7 linked regions of the Oryzias latipes genome follow. The main gene of each other region encodes a partner of the protein of the gene in region 4 in a complex. Links are inferred from orthologs where the notes say so. Each region holds a gene or a part of one and is shown on either strand. Other genes may lie near its edges. The genes, in order: ciao1, polr2k, gtf2a1, ercc2, mnat1, gtf2e2 and mms19.

Region 1 (4,205 bases), on a different chromosome or scaffold from region 4:
GTTCAGTCTTCTTCTTGAAACCTCCAAATTGCAATGTCTCCATCATCACTGCAGGAGGCCAGGAGGCCGGCCTCCTTTGGGTTCCAGGCGACGCAGTTCACATCCTGACAGTGAGCCTTCTTCACCTGAGCAGCCAGCGAGAACACCGGCTCATCTGCATGGGCCGCGAGATCCTCCCTAAACACTCGTATGGCGTCGTCGCCACAGGCAGTTGCTAGGGCACCGGTCAGTCGACACCTACGCAACAGACAGTTGTTTGAGCCATAATAGTAAAGGGGACAAAGATTCAGCCGACTGATGACAAGCGCTGTTTTAGTGGTGGTACAGCCAAAAAAGCAAAGAAGAAAATCTGTTTTGGCAACTTTTTAAAAACTCTGTAAATAGAATCTATTTTTAAAGTAAAAAAAAAAAAATCAGACACCAGACTGTAGTGCAGGGGTGTCCAACTCATTTTGGTTCGGGGGCCACATTTAACCCGTCTGATCTCAAGTGGGCCGGACCAGTAACATAAAAGCAAAATAACAGCTTTGTTTTAGTTTTTTATTCAGTTGGAAAAAATGTCTCAATCAACATAGTAGCCTAATCACTTGGGGCCAATGGAGCTCAAATAAAATTAATTTCAATTAAAGAAAAGTTGGTCTATTCAAATTAATGCAGTCTGAATATTTTACATCTGACACTGAAGCAATCCAGAAACTTTTCTTTATGATAAGTCTCTTAGTGGTGCTGAATGTCATATTCTTTGAGCACTGCGATGTTGATGACATACAAAGCATTTGGGTTTTACATTCAGCTTCGTGAAAAAAAGAAAAAACTCTGTCCAATTTTCCTGGAAGGCTCTTCCCTCCACTTCACGTTTGACAGCATTTTGGTCATTAGGGTGTCGCTAATGATCATCCTTATAGCAAGATAACAGCGGTAAGGCTCATAGGGAACCAAGGTGCATCCTACCCAGACGCAGAGCTGTTATGTTTCGCTTTTGGCACATGCAGATATTTGCTGTTTCAACTGTTTTTCTTTTCCTTTACTCCCCCTAGTGGCGGAATTGCACATTTCTGTTATTTCTTTAAAAAATCATAATTCGCCACAGGAATGGACTAGAAACTTGCTTTCTTTTTTAATCATCCTTTTGATTTTTACTCTTCATGTGTGGGCCGGAGTAAACCACCTGGCGGGCCGGATAAGGCCCGCGGGCCGTGTGTTTGACACCCCTGCTGTAGTGTAAGTATTTAGTCTTACCAGGCAATGTCGTACACTGTTCGTCCATGATAACCCGACAGAGTGCAAACGCACTTCCATGACAAATCACCTAATAAAGCAGACCAAACAAAACATTCTGTGATTAAAAAATATCCTATTTTTTTTTATTTATGTCATAAACTACCCCTCTATCTTCTCACCACTCTCACTTGGATACTCCTTCCAAATCTTCACAGTGCGGTCATCGCTGCAAGACGCCAGCCTCTGTCCCGTCACGTCGAAACACAAACTCCAGACGGTGGACGTGTGTCCCTGCAGAGTGGCCCTGCACTCCCAGTCATCATCCTCCTCCTTGTAAATACAGATGTTGTTGTCGTAGCTGGCAGAAGCCAAGAGCTGCGGAAATAGAATAAAATACAACTTTATTGATCCCACAAACGTCGTTACCATGGCTCTATTAAAAACAGCACGTAGATCATAAATATGGCTAAAGATGCACTTTAACAATTAATAGCAACAATAATAAAACAACTACATGATGGTGAAGGACTGAGTGCAGACCTACCTCTTGCGTGGGATGCCACACAACATGCTTTACATCTTGTGTGTGCGAGTTCACCACTGTAACACACTCGTACTCATCTTCTTCGTCCACTGTGAAGAAGGAAAACAAAGGTTTACAACCCAGCTCTATATGTTTTCTGTGACAAAGGATTGTCCTGCAAGAGCTGGTGAGGACACAAACCTTCCCAAACCCAGACACTCTTGTCTCGGCTACAAGTGGCCAGCAAAGTCCCTGAAGGGGCCCACGCCACGCATTTGACCTCGTTTTCATGACCTTCCAACACAGTTAAGCTCTAGAAGACAAGAAAAGAGTCCAGGTGGAGCCAGAACACGTGTTAGATCAGAGGTTAAACGAACCTTACCTCAAAGTCGTCGTTCTTCTTTTTCCAGATGCATGTCGTCGCATCGAAGCTGGCGGAGGCCAGATAGTTCCCACAGGGAGACCAGGCTACTTTCCTCACAGTGCGCTGGTGTCCGTCCTGCAGAACGTTTTTACAAACCCAAGAGTCACCTTGAAAAGGGAAAACATGAACTGTAAAAAAGGTAAGGTCATCCAACCACTGATTTTAAATCGGCGTAGCAAAATTCGAATAGAAGGCTCTTTGTCTGTCTGAGTCTGACCTTCCTGTCCCCATATCCGGATGGCCTTATCGCCACCACACGAAGCCAGCAGCGCACCGCTCGGGCTCCAACTGACGAACCAGCACCGAGAATCTGGGTGTGCGCTGAGTTTCTGCACCAGAGAAATAGCCTCCTTCATGGCAGAGCTCCAGCAAACGTGACTCCTCTGTCTGTCAGGCGTCGACTCGACACTTTTCTCGATTTCCGTTAACCAAAGATTTAGGCTAAAAAGAGTCACAAATGAGGAAAACGACAGACAAGAGGACTGCGAGTAAATTAATACACCTTTATGAACATTAAAACAAAAGGAGGGGGAAATTAACCAAGGAAAATTGTTCACACAGATAAGTTCAAAGAAGCGTCAAATTAGGAAATGCCGCCATGTTTGCTTATCGGGATCTGGACCCGGTGCATTATGGGTTGATCTAAAATAAAACGTTTTGATGGTAATATTTCATTTATATATTTTTAAAGAAAGTGATCTACCTATATATGTATTTTTATAATATGAATCTATATTTACATTACTGTTTGCAAAGAAAATTTCATGCTAAACATTGTGTACATTTCTATTTTAGTTTCCGCTGGGGGCGGTAGTGTACAGCAAACATTCTAAACGTCACGAAGAAGAATGGCATATACAGGAAGTTAGGGATTTTGAGGAAAACAGCGTAAGCTATCTTTTGTTTTGTTTTGTGTTCCTTTTTGTATCATAGAGACGGACGGTTTTATCAGCGGGATTTGATGTTTACAGGTTATATTTTTTCCCATTCGTTCGCTAAAAAGTGTCTTTCCTCCGAGAACTGGTGACGTAAAGTGTTTATTTTTTTTAGTTAGCTTCAGAGGCTAACAACAGAGCTAAAGGCCCGCTTAGGATCTGTTCTTTGTGTTGGCTTTTCCTTAATATTTTTTGACTACTTTAGGGAAGCGGTTATTGTTGTTTTTATATTGTTGAGCACTTTTATCGCCACCGAAATCTTTGACATATCCTGGAAGACAATTGCCGTAGTTTTACTCTAATACCACAATAACCCGGTACTACTGTCAAGAGGAAGACAGTGCTAAGAGGAACCTACCACTTCAACAGAAAATTCGCCATTCGGTCAGCTATGTATGCCCCACCGGGTCCCGCTGTCTCCGGAGGTCGGAGGAGGAGAGCCGGTACCTCACTTCCCAAACAGCCGGAGCGGAGTCTAGTGTCGGCCCTGCCCGGAGCTTTGTCCATCACAGCGCTGTGCACGGCTCTGGCTGAACCTGCTTGGCTCCGGATTCACGGAGGCACCTGCCCGAGACAAGAACTCGGGGTGGCAGATGTCTTGGGATACGTTGATCCCAATCTTTTGGGTGGTAAGAACCAGCACAAAGTCGTTGCCACTCTAAGCTGAGGATCATGGAGTGCCTTAATTTATATGAATTTGTGGCACGTCTGTCTTTTCAGATTACTGTGTGAATCCGCAGACCATCCTGCTGCTAAGGGTAATAGCTGCCTTCTGTTTCCTTGGCATCCTGTGCAGTCTAACTGCGTTCCTCCTGGATGTGTTTGGACCCAAACACCCTGCCCTAAAGATAACTCGCAGATATGCTTTTGCACATATACTAACAGGTATCTACAGTGCTTGTTTTCATTTCTAATAAAGATCAAACACATTGCTACAATGTAACTGGTTTCTTTGTCTTTCCAGTGTTGCAGTGTGCCACAGTCATAGGCTTTTGCTACTGGGCATCGGAACTGATCTTGTCACTGCAGCAGCAACACAAAAAGTACCATGGCTCTCTCATTTACGTCACCTTTGCCATCAGCTTCTACCTGGTGGCAGGTG
Region 2 (4,202 bases), on a different chromosome or scaffold from region 4:
TCTTACTAATGGAGCAATGTGTTTTTCTGAGTAAGTTGATGATGCTGATCGCTAAGCTAACACTTTTAGCCATACTAGCATAACTTTCATTGTTAGCATAATTAGCATCTTAAGCAATGTGTTTTTCTGAGTGAGTTGATGATGCTGATCGCAATGCTAGCAATTCTAGCCAAAATAGCATATCTAGCAGTGTTAGCATATTTAGAGTCTTAAGCAATGTGTTTTTTCTGAGTACGCTGATGATGCTGATCGCTAAGCTAGCACTTTTAGCCATTTTAGCATAACTACCATAGTTAGGATGGTTAGTATATGCATTTTTTGGGTGGTGAGGGCGGCTGAGCTGCATAGAGGTGGGCAGCGATAGCGGAGGTGGTGTGTAGAAGCGGGTAGCGCCTACAATGCCACGTACGGCTTTAATTTACATCTATAATTTTGTCTGCTGTGAGTTTTCCTGAAACTTTTGCTATGAACTCTATTAAAAATTGTCATATATTAGCTGGATGGTTCATATTAAGGGCTATTTTTATTAAAACAATGACACAAAGTTAGGTGAAATTGTTTTTTAAAAGAGAAAATGAGGAACGCTTCACGAATTTGCGTGTCATCCTTGCGCAGGGGCCATGCTAATCTTCTCTGTATCGTTCCAATTTTAGTATATGCACTAGAGAACTAGTGCAATGAGCCAATGTCTCGGAGTGCTTTTTAAACCCTCCCCTCTGCTACTCTTCTCAAGCATGAGGTGTGATCTGAGGGAACACAGTGGACTTTAAAGGGAACCACAATTAAGACAAAACACCAAAAAAGATCCTCTGTTTCTCCCATGACACAGGATCGTCTCAGGTTCACCATCTCCATTCAAAGTTTGACTTAAATGCTTAAATCAGATTAAAATTACATTTTTTCTGACTTTGTGAGAGACTTCTTGGAAGGATTCTGGGAAAAGAAGGGGGGTTTTGTCACGTCAGACGAGTGCGACTGGTTTCCCGGAAGCGCCAGAACAAAAGGTCGAGTCAACACCCCTCCAGGAGGACCTTTACCAACCCCCACCGCAGCTCCAACCAACCCCCATGTGCTGATGGTTACACACACAGGGGTGGAGACTCTTTCAGACAAGGATCTGTGTGGAGAAAGAGAAAACTGGTCTGATCGCGTCAGACTGACGTCATTCTGCTGCTGCCTTCAAGCAGGAAGCCAAAGCGACGACTCGCTGCAGAAAGATCAGCTCAGAGACGAGAGTCTGTGCTTCTGCTTCCAGCAACAGGACGAACAGAACTCACATGGACCTAAATTCAATAAGAAGAACCCATCAAAGACCAGGATTATACACTTTCATTGGTGCGGAGACGATCCTGAGTGGCTTGCTTCCCTGTTGAGAGCCTGTCGGCTCCTGGTTGAACTAAATTCTGACCATTTCCTGCTTTTTCTCCAATATGCTGCCTCTGAAATTCTTTAAATACATTGTGAGCATCTGTGAGGTAAAATTCTACTTCAAAAATCCTGTTTCTAAACACAAAGATACAGTCATGTTTAATGCAGAAAATACCTGCTGTAGATCTGCCACATGGTGCCGCTGTTTCACCGCTCCACCTGGAGATTCATTACATGGAAGCGTTGCATTCAACTAAAATAAAGAAACGGTGGATCTTCATTATATTTATTCTGTGGAATTTTGTTCCAGTATTTCAAGAACTATAAAGGCAAATAACTTCATTTGCTCATCAAACATATAAGATGAGCTGCAATTAGAAGTTGAGAATGTGTTCGTGTCACAGACACATCCGGTCACCGGTCTGCTTTGTTTTTTTCATACTAACTTTATCCACAAACATGACGTTGGATATAGTTCTATTGACTAGTGTAAACTTTTTATTTGTGTCTGTGGTGAAGCAGAAAACGAGTCACAGCCTGAGTTTACTTCGATGTGAAGCTACAGAGGCAGACGGGGACCGTCAATAAAGTACACCAAAACACCCCAGACAAACAATAGCAGTTTCTCAGTAAGTCAACATAAATAACCTCTAAAACATTACAAGTACTCACTATTGTTCAAACAAACTCCACATAAATCCATACTATTACTTTATTACTGCTTTTCTTAGAGTGAACCAGCGTGTTGGAGTCACCCAAGTTGTAGACGTGTCCTTATCACCTCGCTTTAGGACAACTGCCGTAGTCCTAAAAAAACAGTGATCAAATGATCAAATAACTGGACCTTTTCTACGCGCTTTCTGGCCGTCCAAATGCAGAGAAATTGACGACAAACACCCACAGTCAGCAATAAATAAGAAGTTTAACGTTATTTACTGGAACGGAATGGAAATTTGGTGAAATTAGCGGGCCAGAAACTACTTTCAAATCCGCCATTTATTTAGATTAGAGCTTTGAACGTTAGCAACAATTAAATTTGTTTTTGTTTTCTACTAATAACACATCATTAAACTGTGTTTTCGACAAGACGAGCAACACATCTATTCCGTTATCTCACGAAAGCAGTAGTTATAATCTCGTAATATCGACTTAAATCACTCCAGAAAGTGAACTAATTGAGCAAACACGGCGGCCGTCGTCTTTCGTTTCCCTAAAAGCTTTGAACAATTTCTTTGATCTTAACCGCCACGCATGAGCTGCTCGTCTTCTCATGATTGTCGCATGTGTGAAGCTCAGAAAGCAGAATTCTGCTCCTCACCGTCGTTTGGACTCAGGTTGTTCGGGAGAAGTAGGACACGGAAGCACAAAAGCCGAACCCAGAGCGGTTCTGATCCGAACCTTTCACGCTGGAGTCCAGTAGGTGACTAGTCCGAGACATTCAGGGAACGTCCGAAAAAGAAAATCTCTCTTGAAAAAGTTTAGGAATTTAAAAAACAATAAAGAAAGCACAAGTAGGATTTTGTTTATCTATAAATGGACCCCCCCCACACACACACACACACTATAAAATCATTACTTAAATAAATAAAACAATAAACTAAGAAATGAGGTTTTTAAAGACAAACACAGTAAAAACATTGATTTCCACCTTTAATGAATGTCTGTGAATCGATCAATCGATGACCTCACGCGTTCATGGTTTTCATCCATTTACAGGTTCTTTCTGTTGAGAGAAGAAGTGAATCCCTTCCAGTTGTTTGTTTCTTTAGAAGAATCAGCAGCAGAGGATCTTTATGCTGCAACCGCGCACAGCGGGCCGCGAACTCGGGAGCTTCTGCACGGCGAGAGGAAGTCTTCCTCCGACGGGCCTGATCAGAGTGTTCCAACTTCTCAATCAATCAAATGGCCAGAATTGTTCCAATTTCTAGTATCAAACTTTGCTGTGTCCAATCAGAGAGCCGGATTCGTTCCAATTCCTTCAAATAACTGCCGGTTTTCCATTATTTTAAGACAAATAAATAGTTTGCATTATTTCAAGTGTCTAAAAGAGATTAATGTATTTGTGAAGAAGTGAACTCACGTTGTTACGTGTGTTTTAGTGAAAAAGGAAAAGGAAAGAACATATTTAATACAAAGTTTGCAGGCGGAGATGATTTTGTTTTTACAGGGAACGTTTATTTGCAATAAAAGTAGAATTGAAAAGAAAATATCAAGAATAAACTTCTTTTGAATCAGAACATTTTTAATAATAGGAATATTGTTTCCACAGAAAACTAAAATGTGTGCAGAGATTTAAATGGAAATGAGATCCAGCAAAGTACCAGGAGTGAAGAAGCTGAGAGGAGATTTCTCCGATGATGCTGTGATGATGAACCTGCTGGTGTTTCTGCGGCAGATCTAACCTCTGTCATTGTTCACCAGCAGAAACCTGGAAAAACACAGAACGACCCACTGACTGACTTTGGATGAAGAAAGAGGAAGACTCCCACCAGCTTTCATGGGAGAAGAAGGTCCAAGGTGAGGCAGGTCGTCAGTCTTGGGAAGGGATGGGAGAGGTGGAGTGGTGGATTCTGGACCCGTGCAGAAGCTCATGAGTTCATGTCTCACTTTGTACACTCAGACTGAAAAGGTTCAAATCATAGAAATGCAGGAGAAATCTAAAAGATTTAGCAAAGTATTTGCATCTCTAAATACTTTGAAATTGGGCTGATTTGGTGGTGAGAGATGATGCATTGAATCATTTGGCACAAAGAGATGTGAAAGTACTGAGTAAACAAATTGTTTTGTGCTTTTTTTCAGACTTAATCATCGACAAAACAAAGCTGCAGCTGCAG
Region 3 (4,039 bases), on a different chromosome or scaffold from region 4:
TCCCAGACTGGTTTCATGCTCAAAAGGATGACCTCACACATGGACTGTACCTGCTGTATAATGGGGGCCTGCACGCCGCCAGGCTGCATCTGATTCTGCAGGACGATCTGCTGCTGAGGCTGGATGATGTACTGAGTCCCGTTGGGAGCCCGGACCACCTGCAGGAGCTGACCTGCATCAACAGGAAAACAAAAAAACGTTTTGAGATCCAACCACGCTAAAGTCCAAAGGAACGGTGAGAGCTTTACCTTGGCTTGTGATGAGCTGTTGGTAGGGGGTGACCCCTGTGGGCAAAGCAAGGGTTGCTGCAGTGGCTGCTGCGGTCTGCAGGAGGAAACACAGAAAGCCGCTCCAATTATACCAGAGCACAAAAAGGTGGATTTTCTAGGTGATAAAAAAAGAAAAAATCTTCTTTTTTCTTTTCATTTAAGCCTTAAAGGTTTCAAACATGGTCCATCACTTAAGGAAAAGCTATAGCGGCGGCTAGGTTTCAAGCTCAAAAAGACAGATGGCCTCCCCACAAGAAAGCTTTTCCCTTTCTCGGTTTTGTTCTCCAGGTCCTTGTTGAGAAAAAAAGTCCTCTCCCAAAACCCACAGCCCGGCTAGTTTTCCTAACCGTCGCTTCCTTGATACTATCCCAGATATTCCCCGGGTGGATTTGTGCGATGACAAAACGGGACGTTTGGGAGAATTTTTGGTTCTCAAGTGTGGCGGTGCAGTTTTCAGCTTGTAAGATGCTACTCACCATTCCCGTTGAATTCATGTGCTGTATCATTTTAGAGTCCTGAACTATGACCTGCTGCTGGGGAGCTGTTGAGAATAAAACACATTATTTCAGGTTGAAAAAAAAAAAAAACAACACACGTCCAGGCGACGTTTGTATGTCAACGTGCGGACTCGCCTTGTTGCTGCGAGGGAATCTGGATAACCTGCTGGGCCGGCGCGGCCTGGGCCACCTGCTGGGCCTGTTGGGAGTGCGGGTGCTGCTGCTGAGCGGTCTGCAGGGCCGCCTGCTCCTCGGTGTGGAAGCCCTCCACCGCCTTTGACTGCAGCAGCTTGTTCTCCCACAGCTGAAAGACAAGACTCCAGATGAATCTGACCAAACACGGAGCTGCATGTGTGTGTGTGTGTGTGAGGGGGGGGGGTTATAACCTTCTCTCAGTAAAATGAGACGGATTACCGTTTTCAGCTCCAGAAGAACTTGCTCGTCCACCCCTTCATCCAGGAACAGCTCCCGCACCTCATTGATCACATCCTCAATAACAGACTTGTATAATTTAGGCTATGATGACAAAACAGAGCAAATACACAATTTATTGGTGGTGGTTTCAACATATATAAATGTTTACAATAAATGTAGGAAAACACTCATAAAAGAGGTGTTAAGTTTAAACGGTCACATCTTGTGTATATGGATAGATTATCCAAACCCATATATAATAATCTGCACTGATCCATTTGTCAGCAGGACTAAACGCGTCCCTCGAGACAGAGCTGCACGCGCGGGGAACTGTCACGGACAACATTCTGGCTTCTACGCAGAACGAGAAGCGGGACACCGAATGTCCGTCTCTCTGCTCTCCTCCCCGTCAGCTCCGGCACTATTTAAAGCGCAGTCTGCTGTTTATGTGAAGAACCGGTGACGTAGCGTCGTGTAGCACCGTCCCATCCCGGGCAGTCTATATTAGACGGCCAATATGGCGGTATAAAACCAGGCAGCAGAAAGGAGGAGGGCCAGAACCGAGAGAGGAGACGAGGAAGCCATTTTACAGAGCGGCAAGCGCGCGCGCGCCTCTTTTCCCTCCTCGACTAGCAAGATATGGCGGACTGAAGATGACGGTTTCGGTGGTTTATCTCATGAAAGGATCCGTTTTGACTAAACATTTTTGACTGGAGCGGGACATTTGTTGCGTTGAGGGTGATTTGGGACGGCTCTCCTGCCCTCTGGTCGTGGAATGGAGGACAATGAAGAAGAAGCAGTTGACAGAGCGTTCAAGACGCCAAGCTTTTAATAAAATTTTTTTAGCTAAATTCAGTCGCAGTGGATGGTGCATATGTGCTTTGCGTACATCAGTTTCCCTCCCCTCCAACAGTTATGCGACAATAAGTATGACATTTTCCCCCGTGTAAACAAAAATGAGCACCCCTAACTTAACTAGTTAGCTAACGCATTCAATGCGGATTTCAACTCAATTTAGCTTTAAAAAAATGTCCAGAAGGTTTTCGGAAGCACTTACGTTAACAACTAATACCGTATAAACAGGCAACTTTTAACTTTAAAATTTATTTTTGATCACATTTAATTTAAATATTTAAAGAGATTCGGGTCCTACAAAAGTAATCAGTTCTATAAGCTCTTTTTTCATTGAGTTTCGAAAACTGGTATAAAAAAAATGACCGTGAGTATTCCTTTGAATGGACATAACGGTGTTGGTAAAACTCATTTTTACTGTAATGAATAAAAAAAATAAATTAAAAAAAAAAACAGATCGTTGACACGTTTTTCCATCAACTTTACCCCCATTTTCCCCCGTTGACAGTCCTGAGAGATTGATCCTTACCACTGGGTTCGAGTTTGCCGAGCTCGCCATTATACGCGTAGTGTAAAAACCACACGGAAATAGGCGAGAAACAGTGCCAAAAATTAAGAAAAAAGACTTAAAACAACTGGGAAAGGTACTTTAAAACAGCCGGCATTACTTTTGTAAATAAAACACAGTTTTAACGGTCTTATTTACAATCCCGGGCTGCGACTCCCCAGCCGTCCTCCTTTCGTCGTTGTCCTGCTTTATATACTGAGCGATGGAGCTGCGAGTGCGCGAGACATAGGGCAGGGTCAAAAGGCACATAGCGCGAGATTTGCCACAAAAAACGATGACTAATCACTGACGTCGTGCTGGGAAATGTAGTTTAAATTGTAAATTTCACAATGCGATTGGATACTTAGCTTTTTAGATTTGTTGGACAAATTATCCAATTGTTAACCATGATTACAATTACATTGTTTTTGTTTGTGAGTTTGTATTGTGTTGAGAATGTTTACAAATAGAGGGTTACAAGTTTTAATTGATTTAACTTTTTCAGCTAAATCGAGATTTTTCCTGTATAGTAAATTCTGTGTTGTATTCATTACTTTTATTTTATAACGAAAAGGTTCAAATCTGAATCCAAAAGCCCGATTTATTTCTATGTTCCTTGTAGTATCGTTCTACAGCCACAAGAGGGCGATAAGACAACATCACATGAAAATAACCTGTGTTTCACTGGAGCTTTGAGACGGGCATATTTTTCACATGCAGCGTGCTATATGTGATCTTTAATTAAGAAGATCTGTGCACATTTGAAGAAGTATTTAAGATCATATTCACTTGATCCAAAAATACACAACCAAAGGGAAAATCCTTAAAAAAAAGCTTTGCAATAATTTCGTGTAGACATTGTTAACTCCACTTCAGTCTCCATGGAAACTTGCTTCCCTGGCCACTCTGTGGATATAGATGATATAGACTAGGGAAGACTGTTTGCATCAATCCACAAACAATTCAGTGTTTTCTGAAAACTGTGTTTACTGAAATTATCTAAAGAAGATGTAAAAAAAAGAGAGAGAGGGTGATCTGACCCTGCAGATCACCCTCTCATGCTTCTATAATTACAGGGGAAGCAAAGTTCAACGTGATCAAAAAGCAAGCGAGTGATCCATGCTATGAATGTTTGGGATGTGATCATATATGCAGGCTAGGGCATTGCTGTCTTTGAGCTTCACTCCGGTGTAACATTAGAGAAGCATGATGCCCTCTAAAGATCTGGAGAATGCACACTTTACCCCCCCCCCCCCCCCCACTCCCTACTCCCCCTTCTTTGCTGTAGTTGCATAGCAACAGAGGAGCTGCAAGCTCCAGTTGTGTTGTGATGGGAGCGTGCTGCACAGGGAGCCACTGGCTCAAGATTAAGCCGGTCTCTACTTCAATTATGAATGGGCTTCCACCGCCACACGGCTCCAAAATGGCACCACTCAGACTGATAAGACATTGAGGAACTC
Region 4 (2,792 bases):
TCCGGTTTTACCTGATGAAATCCTGCAAGGTTGGAGCTCGGTCTGGCCGTGGGGTTCTGGTTTCAGAACTCAGACTAACGCTTCTCCCCGCCAGAGGCCGTCCCCGGCTCCATTCGCACCGCCGAGCACTTCCTGGGCTTCCTGCGGCGATTCCTGGAGTACCTGAAGTCCCGCCTGCGGGTCCATCATGTGGTTCAGGAGAGCGCTCCCCAGTTCCTTAAAGACATCTTCGAGAAGGTCTGCATCGACCGCAAACCTCTCAGGTCAGTCGGCTTCAGGTCACACGGGGGAGGGGCCGCAGTTTTCTCAGGAAACACGGATTTTCTGTTTCACCATTTAGAGCGTCGGTATCATTCAAAACCAACTTTTAGGTGTATTTTAATGTTCATTCCTCACAATAAACAGTATGTTGGTCCGTTTACGCATTTCTGAGCATTCCTCTAAAAACCTGCAGCTCCTCCCAACCAACGAAAACGGGCGGGTCTTCGCATTGTGACATCACAAAGTGAGGACCAGCCCCTTCCAGGAAGAGTCTGCAGTGCCAGCCCCGCCCCCAGGCTAACACACACGCCCACTTTCTCCGTGGAGCTAGCGGTGATCGTCTAAACGCTTTCCTTTTTTATGAACATATGCACGTCCATCTTTGCAAAAGTTCTGCCGAGGCGTCTCGGATGACATCATCACATAGGCGGCGCCCACAAAGAGCCGACCTTTTTGTATAAAGTGTTGCATGTCAGCACAAGACTTCTGTTCACCGCACCAGAATCCGCTGGAATTACGATCATTGCGTAAACGGTTGAAGAGTTAAGGTAGTCAAAGAAATGTAAAGATTGGAGCTAACGCTCAGCTGTGAAAAGGTTTAAAAAAAACCTGCATGCGTTTCTGCTGCTGCTGTTTGTGAGAATCGATTTGTGGAAACGTTCTGGAGCTCAATCTGTCTGTCCTGTCCATCTAATATCGGCCGTGTCTCACAGCCGCTGTGGACGTTTTCGTGGTTCATACGTGATGGGAGTTTCTCGTGTTCCTCATTTGTCGACGCGCGCAGACGTCAGTCAAGGATTTCAGCCGATGGATTTTTACCAGAGTTTGGTTTTGAGCTGGATGAGAATTACACAGTTTCTACGTATCTTAAATTATTACATAAATCTTACACAACTGTGCGTGATTTTTGCGAGATTCACAGATTTGTTGCTTTCCGCGACCGTTCCACGTATGTCTAACGGACTTTTCAGTATATATATATATATATATCAGGTATACGGCGCACAAATCTCATTAAAATAGCGTAATTGACCCACAATTCACTAACGAATTGCATCTAAACAGCTCAATAATCACACGGTTCATGCTCTACGTTGATTAGCGTGGTTCATTCCTGATACATCTGTGCAAATGTCACCTAAAGACTCAAACTTCTCTCACTTTTTCCACACATATGACCAATTTTCATCTGTGCAATATGCACAAAATGTATGTAGTTGCTGTGTGACAGACTTTTTAATCCTGTCTATACAGAAATCCAAAGCAGCAGAAGAACCGACTCGTCTCATCCTGTGATGATGTTTTTCTCGCCCTCAGAATCTTGAAGTTATTCTTTCGTGTTTATTTTCCACAAACGGACATCAGACCGTTCTGTGAAAACCTCTAGGGAGCTCCGTTTCTCCTCCTTCACCACTCACCTTTATTTATTTCTTTCCTTCGCCTGCTCAGGTTTTGCGCAGAAAGGCTTCAGTCGCTGCTGCGAACTCTGGAGATCGCAGACATCGCAGACTTCTCCGCCGTCACCCTCATCTCCAACTTTGCGACTCTCGTCAGCACCTACAGCTTAGGTTCTGCTCGCCTCAGATCCCCGCAGGAAGCCGGAGGTCCGGATGGGCTTTTCACCGCAGACTGTGCTCTGTCTTCCTCTCCCTGAAGGTTTCACCATCATCATCGAGCCGTTCGACGACAGAACTCCCACCATCGCCAACCCCGTCCTCCACTTCAGGTAGAAATGCTTCGTTTTTCTGCACGTTTCCCTCTGGACTCCCGGCTGTTTACGTTTTTATAGAATATAGATGCTATATAGAATATAATTTATAAAAGATGTATAATAGATGAGAAACTCCAGCAGAAAGTGTCAACTCTGAGCCTTTTTAACCTTCAACAAGTTGCAGGTAAAAATAAGTTTTCAGCACAAAAACCCAAAGAAAAAAAGTCAAATTTCAAATTTTTGATTAAAAGATCCACAAACCAGTTTCAGCATCAAGGATAAAGAAGCTTTTACATGGAATCATGAGGTTTTCATCATTTTTGGGACAAACATGATGAAAACCTCAGAAATCTGAATAAATGTTGGTCCCAGTTCAACATTGCAAACTCATGACAGGAAGTGTGAAGTGCTCAAAGCCGCTGCTCCGGTTCTGATCCGGTTCTCTGCCCTCACAGCTGCATGGACCCGTCTATCGCCATCAAACCCGTTTTCCAGAGGTTTCAGTCCGTGGTCATCACGTCCGGGGTACGTCCGTCCGTCTGCACATCAGGAAACGACTAAATGGAATATTTCAATAAACTTCATGATCTTTCCATTTTCATATTTTCTGTTCAGTTGATTAGATCAGAAAAAAGTCAAATGTTTGAGATATACTAATTTAATCAACCTGAGACTTTCTGCTTGTTTATGTTCCTGATTTTACTGTTTATTTATTTATTTTTCATCATAAATTCTTAATTTCACTATAATTGTCGTTTTTTTCCCCCCATGTTTGGGGTTTTCATGGAGTTTTCCTCCTCCCCTCAGACCCTCTCCCCTC
Region 5 (3,500 bases), on a different chromosome or scaffold from region 4:
CAGGTTACTTTAAAAAAAAGTCTTAAAGGATTCAACAGAAGTTTGACTTCATTTGGAGGGTTATTCTTTCATCTGTACTTGGTGACTGTGGTGGTGTCTGGACAAATAAACGGATTTGAAAATGTGTCCTCCTGGGCTTTGGGAGGCTGTGATGTCTTAATGGGTTAAAGCTTTCACAAATGTCTTCTTAAAAATAATAGTCGATGGTTAAAAAGAAAAAAGCTTTTGAGTGGTGCGAGCAGAAGCACAGGTGTTCAATGGGATGAACAAATTAGCATTAGGAGTGACAGGCCAACCTGCGCTCTGCCCTCCCTATAATGACAATCTACAAAGTCCTCAGAGAACTGCCAGTCAAGACGTGTCAACACTGGCAGAGGTGCTCCCTAATCCGTGCCCCTGGCTGGCACTAATCCCTTTAAAAACACCCCAGAGTGAAGGAGAAATAATAACACTTGTTTTAGGAAGAGCCTTTCAAGCTGGAACCCCTTACCTATGTCCTCCACTTGCTCCAGATAATCGTTGTATTCTCTGAGGCTTTGGAAGTCACACTCCCTCTTGTTGTAGCTGCAGAGGAAGAGTAGGAACAGCGATGTAAACAGTAAAACCTAACGAGAGCCGACATTTATAGCCTCCATTAAATCAGCCAATTTTAATACCATTTCTGCATACCACCTGAATGACACACATTAGAACATAAATTAAGGGGTATTATATAAAAAAAAAGAGCGAATAAGAGGGGAAGAGCAGGGCCAGGGAGGGGCTGCGAAGTAAAATTTGGCAGAGAAAGAGCCAACCCATTTGAAACCCCCCAGGGAGACTCATTGTCTACAAAACAAACAGTGTAATGACAAAGACAAAGGCAGTTTAAGAAATGGGAGGAGGGATGGTATAGCACATAAACACACAGAACCACACCCCTTCACCTCACAATCTCAATCCCCCCCACTCACATTTTCATGACCTTCTTTCGAATTTCCACCTCCTTGTCAACTGTCGGATCCTCGAAGAGCTGCACCCGAAAGTTGTTCTTCCTCAGCGGCGTGTTGCATTGTACACAGTTGCCGGCGCCGCGCACAAACAGCATCTCCACACAGTTCTCACATCTGTGCCAGACAAGAAAAAAATAATAAAAACGTGTTCATATCCAGCAAAGCAAGACGTTCCAGAGATGACCCACCACAGACGACGGCGTTACGCGTGCGTGTGCCCGTGTAAGGAAATGCTGGGTGTTTTTATGTTTTGATAAGCATCATTAGGCTGAATGGGTGATTATGGGGCATTAGGATGTTTCCTCGGAGTGCTTAAAGATGACTGGGATTATGACTGGAATGTCACTTAGGATGACTCAGACTCTAAAACAAAAGGAAAAAAGTCTCCCAGCCAATGGGTAGCGCGCTTGTCTGCACTGGAAAGATGTTTTTTTCACAAACTTTAGCCTTTCTACCAAATTGCATCAAATATATAGACTATACTTGTGTTAAATCAGGATTCTTTTTTTTTTCCTGGTACATTTTCGCATTTTCAGCAACATCCACATTAAAAATTACACTATATCTTATTTATAAATGCTTTACAAAATGTTTAATGCTTTTCCAACTTAAACAATCATCCATTTTAATCAATATAATTGAGAACAAAACAATCTATTTACATATGAGGTCAGAAAAACATGTTGGTGTTATACAGTTCTGTTTCTATAAGCAAGAATGGCAACAATAAAGTTTTCTTTAACGTATTAACTCAGATAAAAAGAATAAAGTCCAACTATACGCATTTTAACTTCAAGAATGTTGCATTCATGCTCTTTTTTCCCCCTCCAGTTTGGTATCACTGCTTATTTTCCAAATCCACTTACAGAATTATGATTCAGTTTATGATACCATTCAATATCAGGATCGTTTTCACATTCTAAAAAACTCAAATCTAACATGCAAGGATACGAGACATCCCAGATAACTGTTTCAAAATAAACAAAGGTGGGACTTCTGTTACTAAAACTGAACATTTATTCACTATTAGTTTGTAAATAAAGACTGATTTAAATTGAATATTTGGAATATTATTTCCATTTAACACTGATGTCAAGCTAATAAAAGGAAAACATTTAGTTAAAACATTAAAATTAGATCATTGTGAAATGTTCTCTTGACTGAAGTTATACTGACAGTTTATTTAAAAGATATAAGAAAAGAAAAGTTTCACAATTAATATAAAAGTTCACTTTTTTGTTACTTTTTGAATAAAACATTCACTGGTTAAATGTATTGTTTCCAAATAGATAACGTCATAGATGCTGTGCCACAAAATAACCCCATGTGTACATTTCCCATAAGCCTTAGTGGTTATATCCTAAATATGTGGACATTACAACCGCAGCACTCTGTGAGCTGAAAGCTTCTCAGCATTCTAAACTTCCCTCACTTTTTTCAATTTATAACAGATTTAAAAGCTGAATTTAGAATCTAGAAACTCAAGCAGAAAAATAGTTAAACAGTCAAACTACCTGTAAAGATAAAACTTAGTTCCCAGTCTTATAACAAGCTCTCTAATGGCCTTCACAATGTGTTTTTTTTTACTCTGTGCAAACATTGTCTAATATTTTAGATTTTGTCTACATTTCCAAGATAAAAACAGCCACTTTATTTGGTACTTGTGATTTGGATCAATTCCAAACAATAAACACACCAAAACTGTTGAAACAGAGACGAGGATTTTTCAGCTCAAAGTTTCCTTCACTTTACTACGATGGCAAACTCTCTGACAATCAGTCAGTTAGCCTACCTGAGGCAACACGCCTGAGGCTATTCATCAATCCTACCTTCATGCAGGCAGGCGTTTACCCATTAAACATACTTAAAGGAAGAGCAGACAGCAAAGATAATTGGGACTGTCCCTTAATTCTCCCCTGAACAGGTCAGAGCTTGGATAAACGTATGCACTGTATGCTCTGCATGAGCTTTTTTGCCAAAGAAATCCACCTTGCTGGACCTTGTGGTTTCCTGATCTGCCTCTGAAGATTGATGCTGCAACAAAGCGAGTTTAAGGACTACAAGGGAAAATGTGTCGCTGGCCGCATGGCTTTCTAACTCAGATGTTCCCAGGGGAATGTGTCTTTCAGAGGACTATGATCATCATGCAAAACTTTTCACTTCATCAGCACAACTCAAAGCTAAATCAGCTAAGGAAGAAAGTGCAGAGACTGGGAATTTGTCTGTTTACACCTCGCGTTTCTCATAAGGGTCAAACAAGCCCAACCTGCTGAGTGTGACGCCAAACCTTTCGCAGCTGTACAACAAAAACGAAGCCCCACAGCTATCACGTCCGATTTAGCTCGGCTTTGATGAAACATTAAAAATGAAAGCTAAACTACTGAGAGGGACATGTGTTCTGTCCAGTTGGTGCCAGTTGGAGCCCCCACTCAAGTACACTTTGGAGGAGGCAGATGTTCACTGGAGCCTCGGGCAACAGGAGATCTATGGGACTTGCCATATGGAGGTAGA
Region 6 (4,198 bases), on a different chromosome or scaffold from region 4:
CTCCCCGAGGCCATCCCCATGTCCCACGTTTCCCTGCAGGTACAGGAAGTCTACCCCTTCCACGACGGTTGGAACGTCGCCTGCTTCGTCATCCTCCTGCTCTTCATCCTCACCGTTCTGTCCCTGGCCGCTCTGGCCGTTCTCTACGAGTTACTGGACTGCGGCTGCTGCGCCAAAGGGAAAACGCGCCACCAGTTGCAGCAAGAAAGGTCGGGAAGCTGCAGCAATCTCATGACGAGAACATGCAAGGAGCTGGAGAGCCACACGGAGGTGGTATAGCAGCAGCACAGACAAAGGAAAATGGAAGAGTTTGGGGTTGGGATGCCCAATTTATTGCCAAAACAAGCACCCCTGATACCATAGACTGTCTATTTGCATGCATCCAATTCAGAGGCAAAGAAAAAAATGAATCAATGTTCCAGAGTATTCTGTACACAGAAACGTTTGCCGAGTTAGGGCTTTAAAGACTCATGTCATCTTTGTTTAGTTTTGTGTTTTTTTGCCGTTCTTCTATGGTAAACACACAGTCGTGAATTTGTAGACACAATAAAGGTTTTCGTTTGGCTTCCCACAAACCCGATAAAAGTTGATGGAAATCTTTTCTTTTGGGTTAAAAACATTGTGGTATGATAAAAAAGAATTGTTATAAATAAACATGATTCATTTAAATGGATGTTAAGGCGAGCCGAAAGTTGTAATTGTTTGTAGTGGATGTATAGAAATCAGCTGCCACTCTCATGTTACCAGGTGGAAAATCTGACATTTCTGAAACTTTTTTAACAGATGAAGACGTTTATTTTCCAAAAGCAACTAAATGAAGTGATAAAATCTAGCGTTGGACGGCTGTTGGTCAATGTGGTATGTTGGCATTTTCATGAAGACAAACATAAAAAGACTAAAGAAAATCAATAAAAATGAGATCTAACAAAAAGTTTGGTTAAAGAGTTTGAATTTTCTTTCTCTATATTTCATGATTCTTATGAATCAGTCCTTTCATCCAAAGAATTCTTTTAGGCTTTATTTATATTTACTATAAAAATGTTAGAAGTCATTTTTTGATCTGTGCACACCTTTAAAAAAAAGCAATGACAGCAGAATTTTGACCACTTTGCTTTTCGTAATTATTCAAATATTTGACTCAGAATAACCTATGAGTGACAGATGAATGAGTTTTGATTGCCTAGGTGTTACATCATCCATCCATTAAAAAACAACAACATTTAAACCAAACAAAAGAAAGAAAACATAATCCTTAAAAATAATCTGCCAGTTTCACTCAAAGACCCCCTCCGATCATATTTTGATCTATTGTGAAAGCGTTTCCATTGGTCTTTTACTTAGGAGAAGGTCATTTTTAGCTAAAAATTAAAAAAATCTGGGTCGTTTTTCTAGGACATAGTTTCTGCAGGGTGGCAGTAGTTCATTGGAATTTCACCTGAGTTGCGAGTGGGACCAGCGGCGCTGTAAGGAGCAACCCTACCCCCCCTTCCAGTCATCCATTACTGAGCTCTCTGCATATCCTCTCTCATAAGCTTACAGCCTCTCACACACCCAACCCAACATTGGTGAGCAAACTTAAGGTTTACGCCAGATGGCAGCCCAGGCGAGGAAAACAAAGACGTACATGGATCCATTTGTCTGCAAGTGGGTTTATCAGAATGGAGCGGAGCAGCTTGTGGCACGTCCAGGAGAAGCTCAGTAACCAGATATAAAGCATGACCTACCAGTGCTGTGTTTGGAGCCAGAGGAGCCTTCCTTGTCTAACTTGGGCTTCTTCTTCTTGTGGGATCCAGAGTCTGATGCAGCTGGTCTCTTCTCAACAGCCGGCGTGGAGAGAGCTCTTTTCTTAAACAGCTCCCTCTCGCGAAGCAGAGCTGGATCCATCCAGGCTGGTGGACAAAAGCATGTAAACACAGAAAAGGCTGGATAAAATGCAGTTTTACTAAGCTTCAAACGTTTAAATTAAATATAATTTATGAAATAAATATAATACTGAAACAGTGAGGTGCATCATCTCCATGCATATCTATTATACCTGGTATGTTTACCTGGTTCTTTTCTCAATCTAATCAGTGATGCAGCTGTTTTACTATTTTTTCTTCAAATATTAAGTAGAGCATAAGGATTATTATTAGTAACTAGATTTGATGTTAAAACATTGTCTTGACACGACAGGATTCTGTTCTTCAAAACTACGGTGTTCCATTTGTGCCAAAAATAATTGTGTTCGGTTCTTCTACTGACAATATGGGCCAAAGACATGGAATTACTACATTAACAGTGACCAAAGAAATACACTTAATACAGAAACAGTGGACTAAAAACTCAACTCAAAACATATTTAAACATATATATAACAGAAGTTCGCTGTTTGTCCGATTAGCTTCTTCTTCAGTTTATCGGGAAAAAAAAAACTTCATATAAGCAGCTAAAAGTCATCGAGATGAACCTTTAGAGTCCAGTTTCCCCAAAGAACCGAATCCCGTGACAGCATGACCCACATAACCGCTAATTAATGTTCCCGCATTGTCTAACACCTAATGTGATGCTAATCCTAGTGTTAGCATGTCAACGTTACCTGCTACTGTTGAGTTCTTCTTTCCAGAAAGTGGCGAATAAGTCCCGATAGACTAATTTATAAACTAAAAAGTGAAATAGAAAGACAATTTTAAGCTTAAGTAAACTCAAGCTTACTTTCTAATAAAAAAGTATTATTTTTGTATCCATCATGTAACTGTTTCGTTTAGTGTTCGAGTTGTCGGTTATCGTTATCGTATGTTATTCCTTGGGTGACGTCTTCCGCGTGCAAGCAAAAACCCGCAGCTGTGTAGCTCAACATCGCCACCTACTGGACTGGAGGACAGTCAACTTATTTCAGGCAAGAGAGCTATTTTGGTTAGGGATTCTGAAACTATAGCTAAAATAATGAGTGTTCTGTTTCACAGTTTTTAATTCTTGCCGGAACGTTTAAAAACAATTAAATAGTTTCAGCAAATGTTTCTCCCCCAACATTTTCAGTTTTTAAACTGAAAATTATTGGATATTATTATAACCAACAGTTTGTAATAAGACATTAAAAGTATTATTTCCAACACCTGACTGTAATATGTTCTGTTTTGCATTGTGGTGTGATTGCCATTTCGATTATAAACATAATCTTTACAAGTTTTCTTTGCCAAATTTTGTGCTTTGACCAATAAAGTTTAATCTCATTTCTTGTTAAAAGATGAAACACTTAAGTGAAATGTTAATAAAGTTCCAGGATTTATTTTTGAATAATATTTTTAATTTAAAGCCTTTTTTTTTCTTTTTACTGTAGAGGAGCCTACAGCACGTAGTTACAAAATACATTACGATAGCATACCTTTTGCAGTTCTAAAGGGGTGTAAAGCATTACTATGACATTAAAGTCATTACATACTTAGTAATGAGACGAGAACACATGAACAAAAAAACTCTGCTAAAAATATCTTTATAAACTCATGGTTCATCACTTTTAGCTTAGAAACAATAATTTAACTTTTGATTTCTTGAACAAATGTGTTTATCTTTTTTTTTTTTTTTTTCTTGAAGAAAAAAATGTATCTGATCAGTTATTTTTGACAAAGTGTGGTGATTGGAATCATTATTTAATAGACAGCTCCACTTTTCCTGAGGTAAACAGACCCCTACGGTTCTCCTGTCACTCTGTTATCCATTTAGGTAGATGACTCATAGTTTTATTTTAACAACAAAAAGCTGTGATTCTGCTTCCTGTACTTTCACTTAATGATTATTAAAGCTTATCGCCATTTGTCTTAGAGTGAAATGCTTGACAGTACCTTGTCACTTCCTCTACTTCTGTAGGTCTTACAAAGAACGCTATAAGTAATAATTGATTACGAGTCATAACTTTATAAGTAATAAAGTTATGTAACGCAGTGTAACTCTGACACAGTGACAGTTTGGAGGTAACAAACCCCAAACTGTAAACAGAAATAATACTAAAAATAATTTTACTTTCCCTTTATTATTACTTTATAAGTAATAAAGTCATGTAATGCAGTGTAACTCTGACACAGTGACAGTTTGGAGGTAACAAACCCCAAACTGTAAACAGAAATAATACTAAAAATAATTTTACTTTCCCTTTTTTTTCTCTGACTAGTAATCAATTTTATTAGCGAATAATGAGGGCATATACAAGGAATTTGGCTTC
Region 7 (4,288 bases), on a different chromosome or scaffold from region 4:
CTTAAAGAAGCACTGCCATGAAAATGGAGTTTTAAACGTGTTCTTGTAGCATCTTTTGATGATGGGAGGACAAATGGAAAGAAAATGAAGCTCAAAATTCCGTTTCTGAGTGTCTTCTTTATTCAAATCAATGCAAATCGGGAGCAGACGGAAAAAAACGTGGTTTGGAAAACATCGTATTTGTGATGAAGAAACAAGCTTCCTGCTCCGCCCCATTCTTAAGCATCCACCTGCATGAACGACGAACGTTTTATTTTAAAGAACTCCTGCCACGCCGCAGGAGCTCCGATCAAAGGTTCAAATGGAGAACATTTCCTTCAAAGCAAGCTGTTTGACTCCCTTTTGTTTTTTTGCATTTGGCCTCACAGGTCGACCGTCCTCTACACTCTCGTGTGCTTCAACTTCAGCCGGACCTTTCGCCAGGTTAAGAGATGCACAAACATGGAATAAACAATAGGTTTTGAACTTTCTATACACGCATTCTACAAATAAATGTGCGTTGAGTGTGTATGTATGCACTGCAGAAGATTCCCAAACTTTTGGGCGGATTACAGACAATACTTGTGCAAACAAAGGAGAGCAGCTATTCCACCACTTCTTATGCAGGTCAAGGTCAAACGCAGAGGAGGCCACGTTCCTGTTTGCACCCTAAAACCAGCGTTCAGAGGCGCTGCTGCATCACGTGATCACGTGATCCATTCAGTCACAGGTTCCTCAGGTACCAGCTCACCTGCACGCATTCAAATGTGTGTCCTTTCCGGGTTCAAGTCCAACCAAATCAGCTAAAGCTCGTTTGCATAGTAGTTAGGGTCAAACAACAGTGTCAGGTGTCAAATAGTTGAAGATAAATGTCAAATAAGAACATAAATAATACCCCCCCCCCCCCCCCCCCCCCAGGTTTAATTAACCTACATTTAGCTCGTTTTCTTGTCTTTTTCTATGACTCTGCTGCATTTGCTACTCTAAAGTGTCATATAAACAGCAAACTCCGAACCCACCGTTCCCGGACGAACCTCGGCTCTGTGACTCGTCCCAGCCTCGCCAGTACCTCCCCACGCATCCTCCCATGGCCGGAGGGGCTGTGGTCGCTCCCCGCGGGGCTTCACTGGCTTCCAACGGGGCCCATGGCGACGAAGAACCGAGTCCGGCGAAGATCAGAACCCGCAGGTGCAGCGCTGCTAGCCGGATATGTCATCCGGTGACAACAAGGCGGTGAAATCCGGTGGGAACCGTTAACAACTTTTTTTCTGTTGTCTGAATAACCGGTAAAGTTCGGTTTAGTTGCAACTGTAAACAGAAAAGCTTTCTTGCTAACAGGCTAACTGGGCTAACCAGCTAGCTCCGCCAGAAAACACAAACTTCCGCGTGCTCGATGTCATTTCCCCGAGTTTTATCTTCCCTATAAAAGGGTCTGGAGGTAGAGCTTCACTCGGAGCTGAATGCAGAACCGTATCACGCCCTTCACGCGCTCCCGGACTACTTTTCTTCAAAAGACTTGGAAAAACTCCTCACTTTCTGTTGCTGCTGGTTGAGAAAGTGTTCAGAAACGAGCTAAGGCAGGCGAACTTTTCTGCACATGCGCAGACAACCAGGCAGGTGGGTCTGAAGGAAACGTAAATAAATGATAGCAGTGACGTCACAATAATGGTTCAAACCGTCTTTGATATTAGGAGAGAAAAAACAATACACAATGACAATAAGTACATTTTAAAAGGGCACAAAGTAAAAATACTATCAATAAAGTACAGATTCTTATGAATATTTCACTTTTTTGTAGGTATTTTTCAAACTTATCCAAACAAATTAGGATTTTTCCATATAGTTTAAAAAAATACTGAACAAAAACGTGTGAATTCCAGTTTATTATAACGTCACATGAAAACTTAGATAGAATGAATGCAGTCATACGATGAACAAAAAAATATTTTACGTAGTTTAATATCTTCTGGGATTTTAATCCAGATCATGTTATCAAACGGTTTCAGCTTTTAGTCCAGCTTGAAACATATTTCACTGCTTAATTAATGCACTTATAAAAGTATGACATCTCCAATAACACCTTTATGACCAAACAAAAATGATCAAGCTTAATAAATTGTTACATTTATACTTGTTTATGTTTTTTGAGATACTTTGAATGTAATGGTGTCTTGGACATAAATGTGTCGTTCTTTTGTGTAAAATCTCTATATTTATTTTATTTAAAAGCACAAACAATATTTTTTAAAAATATATTTATATTTTTTCTTAACCAAGAAAAAAAAAGTTGGACTTTGGCGTTTGAACTTTCTGCACATGCGCAGTGTCAGCAGCGTGGAGGAAGCGCGATGGCTGCGGACGGTGCCTTGCTGCTGTCTCTGGTGGAGGAATTCGTCTCCGGATTGCAGGACAGCAAAGCAAAGGACGCCGCTAAAGGTACAGCAGTCGTGTCCGGTGTTTGTCCTCACATTTACCAGCGGGTTTGTGTGGAAAACTGAGCTGGAGCCGTTAGTTTCCCATAAAGGTGCGTGGGGGTTAACTAGCTAAACTTAGCGTCACAACATCCTGTGCGGGATGCTGCGTGAGAAGCTCCTCCTGACACTAAACATGTCATGAATCTGCCCTTTTTCCGGGGCGGCAGGAACTCGCAGCTATCTTTGTTTACTGAAACCATGACTGTACCTGCAGTCTGCTGTGGTCTCGTGCCTGCTGCTAGCTAGCTGCTGGCTGGGCGCGAGGAGGATCCTGTCATTGAACCCTCAACCCCCGATTTACCTTTGATCCCGAGTTTGTCTGTGTGGGCAAAGCAGGGAAACACGTCCAGACTACCGAACCGATTCGGTTCCGATTCAGCACAGACCTGATAACTTATGACGTATCAAATTAAAGGAGTTTTAATTATACCCAAAGTAAACAGAGGGGGATCTTTCAAAATAAAACGATCACTTATGTCAATCAAATTTACTGAAGTTTGTTTTTCCCCTGATACTATATTTATTTAAAGGCTGTTATGACGGAATACTGAGGCCACCATGAAAGAAAAGCAAATATTTGACAATGAAGTTGTAACATTATAAGAGAAAAGTTCAAATTTTTACAGGAATTCAGTCGTGAAATTATGAGGAAAAAAGTCCAAACTTTATTATGAGAATTGAACTGTAAAATAATCTGAGAGAAGTCTAAATTTGACGCAAATAGTCCTAAAATTTTCCAAAAGAAATGCATATTAAATCAGTTTTTAGTTTTTTCCTTTTAAAATTCAGACTTTTATTTATTTACTTATTTGAAAAAGTATGACTATTTCCTTGCAATATTGCAACTTTTGAAGTAAAACATTTACAGCTTTATGTTAGAAAATTGTCGTTTTCCCTTTTTTTAAAGTTTTTTCTTGTACATTTTTTTTCCTTGTAAAATTTTGTCTTTATTTTTCTCAGAATTGTACAACTTTATTCTATATATGTACTCATTGTTTCCGTTACCGTGGTCCTATTTGCACGTAAGGCGGCGGGCGCGTTCTTACTTCGACCTCCACTGCAGCGGCAAAGGAAAGCGATAAATACGCTGATGGTTCACATCAAGCAGCCAATCAGAATTGAGACCCGGACCGTGGTATAATATGGATTATTTAAGCTTTTGTTGACATATTATTGATTCTTGCTCAGGTGTCAAAGATGGAGCGTTTACAGTTTTGCAGTTAGTGGAAGCGTTGGGGTGAGCCTTTGTCTTTTTCTCCTTTACTTTTTTACAAAAACACAAAAAAGTGACGCCGTTCTTGTTTTCAATCGACTTCCCGTCCACCCGCAGGCCCAGCCTGACCAGCTCGCAGCCGCAGACTCGCGCCCGCGGCGTCCAGCTGCTCTCCGAGGTCCTACAGGACGGCCGTGCAGAGCTGTCGCAGAAAGAAGGTCAGAACACCAAGCCTTTTCGTCTGCTCAAAGTGAGGAGCGTTGTTGACATCCTGTTGTCCCATCGCAGTGGAAGTGCTCATGGCTTTCTACCAGAACCGCCTCAAAGACCATCACGTCACCACTCCGCCCGTCCTACGGGGGCTGCTCGCCTTGGTAAACTTGGGGGACCCGGTTTCAGACGGAGGCGCTGCTGGAGCCTCCTTGTAAGTTTGTGTTGGTTTCTCCTCAGACCAAGTGTGCGGCGCTGCCTCCCGGCTCGGCCGTGTCCATGCTGAGGTCGCTGTTCCAGGACGTCCACGTCCAGGTGAGGTTCTCCATGAAGAAACCAGGATCTCCTCCACTTCCTGTTTTCCGGTAAAGGTCTGCTCCGTGCCGTTTGTCTCGAGGTCTATCTTGACGTT

The links.
Region 1: ercc2 (region 4) and ciao1 share a complex: the UniProt entries of both Homo sapiens proteins name them as parts of the MMXD complex. The link is inferred for Oryzias latipes from reciprocal best matches to the Homo sapiens genes ERCC2 and CIAO1.
Region 2: ercc2 (region 4) and polr2k share a complex: the UniProt entries of both Homo sapiens proteins name them as parts of the TBP-based Pol II pre-initiation complex. The link is inferred for Oryzias latipes from reciprocal best matches to the Homo sapiens genes ERCC2 and POLR2K.
Region 3: ercc2 (region 4) and gtf2a1 share a complex: the UniProt entries of both Homo sapiens proteins name them as parts of the TBP-based Pol II pre-initiation complex. The link is inferred for Oryzias latipes from reciprocal best matches to the Homo sapiens genes ERCC2 and GTF2A1.
Region 5: the proteins of ercc2 (region 4) and mnat1 are in contact, whole or in part, in a crystal structure (PDB 6TUN), measured with the Homo sapiens proteins. The link is inferred for Oryzias latipes from reciprocal best matches to the Homo sapiens genes ERCC2 and MNAT1. Residues at the interface, in NP_000391.1 of Homo sapiens: Lys274, Tyr285, Ala318, Val319, Pro320, Gly321, Ser322, Arg324, Thr325, Glu327, His328, Arg334, Arg335, Glu338, Gln363, Arg364, Val365, Cys366, Gln368, Lys370; in NP_002422.1 of Homo sapiens: Val68, Glu71, Val72, Arg75, Lys76, Leu79, Arg85, Glu86, Leu92, Tyr95, Asn96, Asp97, Leu99, Glu100, Glu103, Glu104, Phe107.
Region 6: ercc2 (region 4) and gtf2e2 share a complex: the UniProt entries of both Homo sapiens proteins name them as parts of the TBP-based Pol II pre-initiation complex. The link is inferred for Oryzias latipes from reciprocal best matches to the Homo sapiens genes ERCC2 and GTF2E2.
Region 7: ercc2 (region 4) and mms19 share a complex: the UniProt entries of both Homo sapiens proteins name them as parts of the MMXD complex. The link is inferred for Oryzias latipes from reciprocal best matches to the Homo sapiens genes ERCC2 and MMS19.

The regions. Positions count from the first base shown.
Region 1 is NC_019867.2:18,361,328-18,365,532, reverse strand, and holds the start of ciao1 (probable cytosolic iron-sulfur protein assembly protein CIAO1), read right to left. Parts: upstream 2,801-4,205; 5' UTR 2,525-2,800; coding exon 2,386-2,524; intron 2,276-2,385; coding exon 2,127-2,275; intron 2,058-2,126; coding exon 1,946-2,057; intron 1,855-1,945; coding exon 1,766-1,854; intron 1,597-1,765; coding exon 1,401-1,596; intron 1,310-1,400; coding exon 1,240-1,309; intron 238-1,239; coding exon 3-237; 3' UTR 1-2. Other genes in the region: tmem127 (transmembrane protein 127), read left to right, coding at 3,495-3,732, 3,824-3,988, 4,068-4,205. UniProt on the Homo sapiens protein: Key component of the cytosolic iron-sulfur protein assembly (CIA) complex, a multiprotein complex that mediates the incorporation of iron-sulfur cluster into extramitochondrial Fe/S proteins.
Region 2 is NC_019869.2:7,013,761-7,017,962, reverse strand, and holds the start of polr2k (DNA-directed RNA polymerases I, II, and III subunit RPABC4), read right to left. Parts: upstream 2,801-4,202; 5' UTR 2,687-2,800; intron 1,622-2,686; 5' UTR 1,544-1,621; intron 1,461-1,543; exon of another isoform or gene 981-1,460; intron 677-980; exon of another isoform or gene 571-676; intron 1-570. UniProt on the Homo sapiens protein: DNA-dependent RNA polymerase catalyzes the transcription of DNA into RNA using the four ribonucleoside triphosphates as substrates.
Region 3 is NC_019882.2:4,171,033-4,175,071, forward strand, and holds the start of gtf2a1 (transcription initiation factor IIA subunit 1), read right to left. Parts: upstream 2,801-4,039; 5' UTR 2,592-2,800; coding exon 2,562-2,591; exon of another isoform or gene 2,525-2,561; coding exon of another isoform or gene 2,519-2,524; intron 1,283-2,518; coding exon 1,181-1,282; intron 1,071-1,180; coding exon 902-1,070; intron 811-901; coding exon 746-810; intron 325-745; coding exon 249-324; intron 173-248; coding exon 51-172; intron 1-50. UniProt on the Homo sapiens protein: TFIIA is a component of the transcription machinery of RNA polymerase II and plays an important role in transcriptional activation. TFIIA in a complex with TBP mediates transcriptional activity.
Region 4 is NC_019871.2:4,138,871-4,141,662, forward strand, and holds part of ercc2 (general transcription and DNA repair factor IIH helicase subunit XPD), read left to right. Parts: coding exon 1-29; intron 30-94; coding exon 95-263; intron 264-1,710; coding exon 1,711-1,829; intron 1,830-1,917; coding exon 1,918-1,987; intron 1,988-2,427; coding exon 2,428-2,497; intron 2,498-2,779; coding exon 2,780-2,792. UniProt on the Homo sapiens protein: ATP-dependent 5'-3' DNA helicase. Component of the general transcription and DNA repair factor IIH (TFIIH) core complex, not absolutely essential for minimal transcription in vitro.
Region 5 is NC_019880.2:12,052,980-12,056,479, forward strand, and holds part of mnat1 (CDK-activating kinase assembly factor MAT1), read right to left. Parts: intron 1,104-3,500; coding exon 951-1,103; intron 565-950; coding exon 491-564; intron 1-490.
Region 6 is NC_019859.2:11,937,016-11,941,213, reverse strand, and holds the start of gtf2e2 (transcription initiation factor IIE subunit beta), read right to left. Parts: upstream 2,801-4,198; 5' UTR 2,579-2,800; intron 1,890-2,578; 5' UTR 1,885-1,889; coding exon 1,725-1,884; intron 931-1,724; exon of another isoform or gene 280-930; coding exon of another isoform or gene 1-279. Other genes in the region: smim18 (small integral membrane protein 18), read left to right, coding at 1-279. UniProt on the Homo sapiens protein: Recruits TFIIH to the initiation complex and stimulates the RNA polymerase II C-terminal domain kinase and DNA-dependent ATPase activities of TFIIH. Both TFIIH and TFIIE are required for promoter clearance by RNA polymerase.
Region 7 is NC_019877.2:1,649,447-1,653,734, reverse strand, and holds the start of mms19 (MMS19 nucleotide excision repair protein homolog), read left to right. Parts: upstream 1-1,488; 5' UTR 1,489-1,596; intron 1,597-2,303; 5' UTR 2,304-2,327; coding exon 2,328-2,415; intron 2,416-3,641; coding exon 3,642-3,690; intron 3,691-3,783; coding exon 3,784-3,884; intron 3,885-3,954; coding exon 3,955-4,040; intron 4,041-4,116; coding exon 4,117-4,191; intron 4,192-4,288. Other genes in the region: ubtd1 (ubiquitin domain-containing protein 1), read right to left, coding at 999-1,068. UniProt on the Homo sapiens protein: Key component of the cytosolic iron-sulfur protein assembly (CIA) complex, a multiprotein complex that mediates the incorporation of iron-sulfur cluster into apoproteins specifically involved in DNA metabolism and genomic integrity.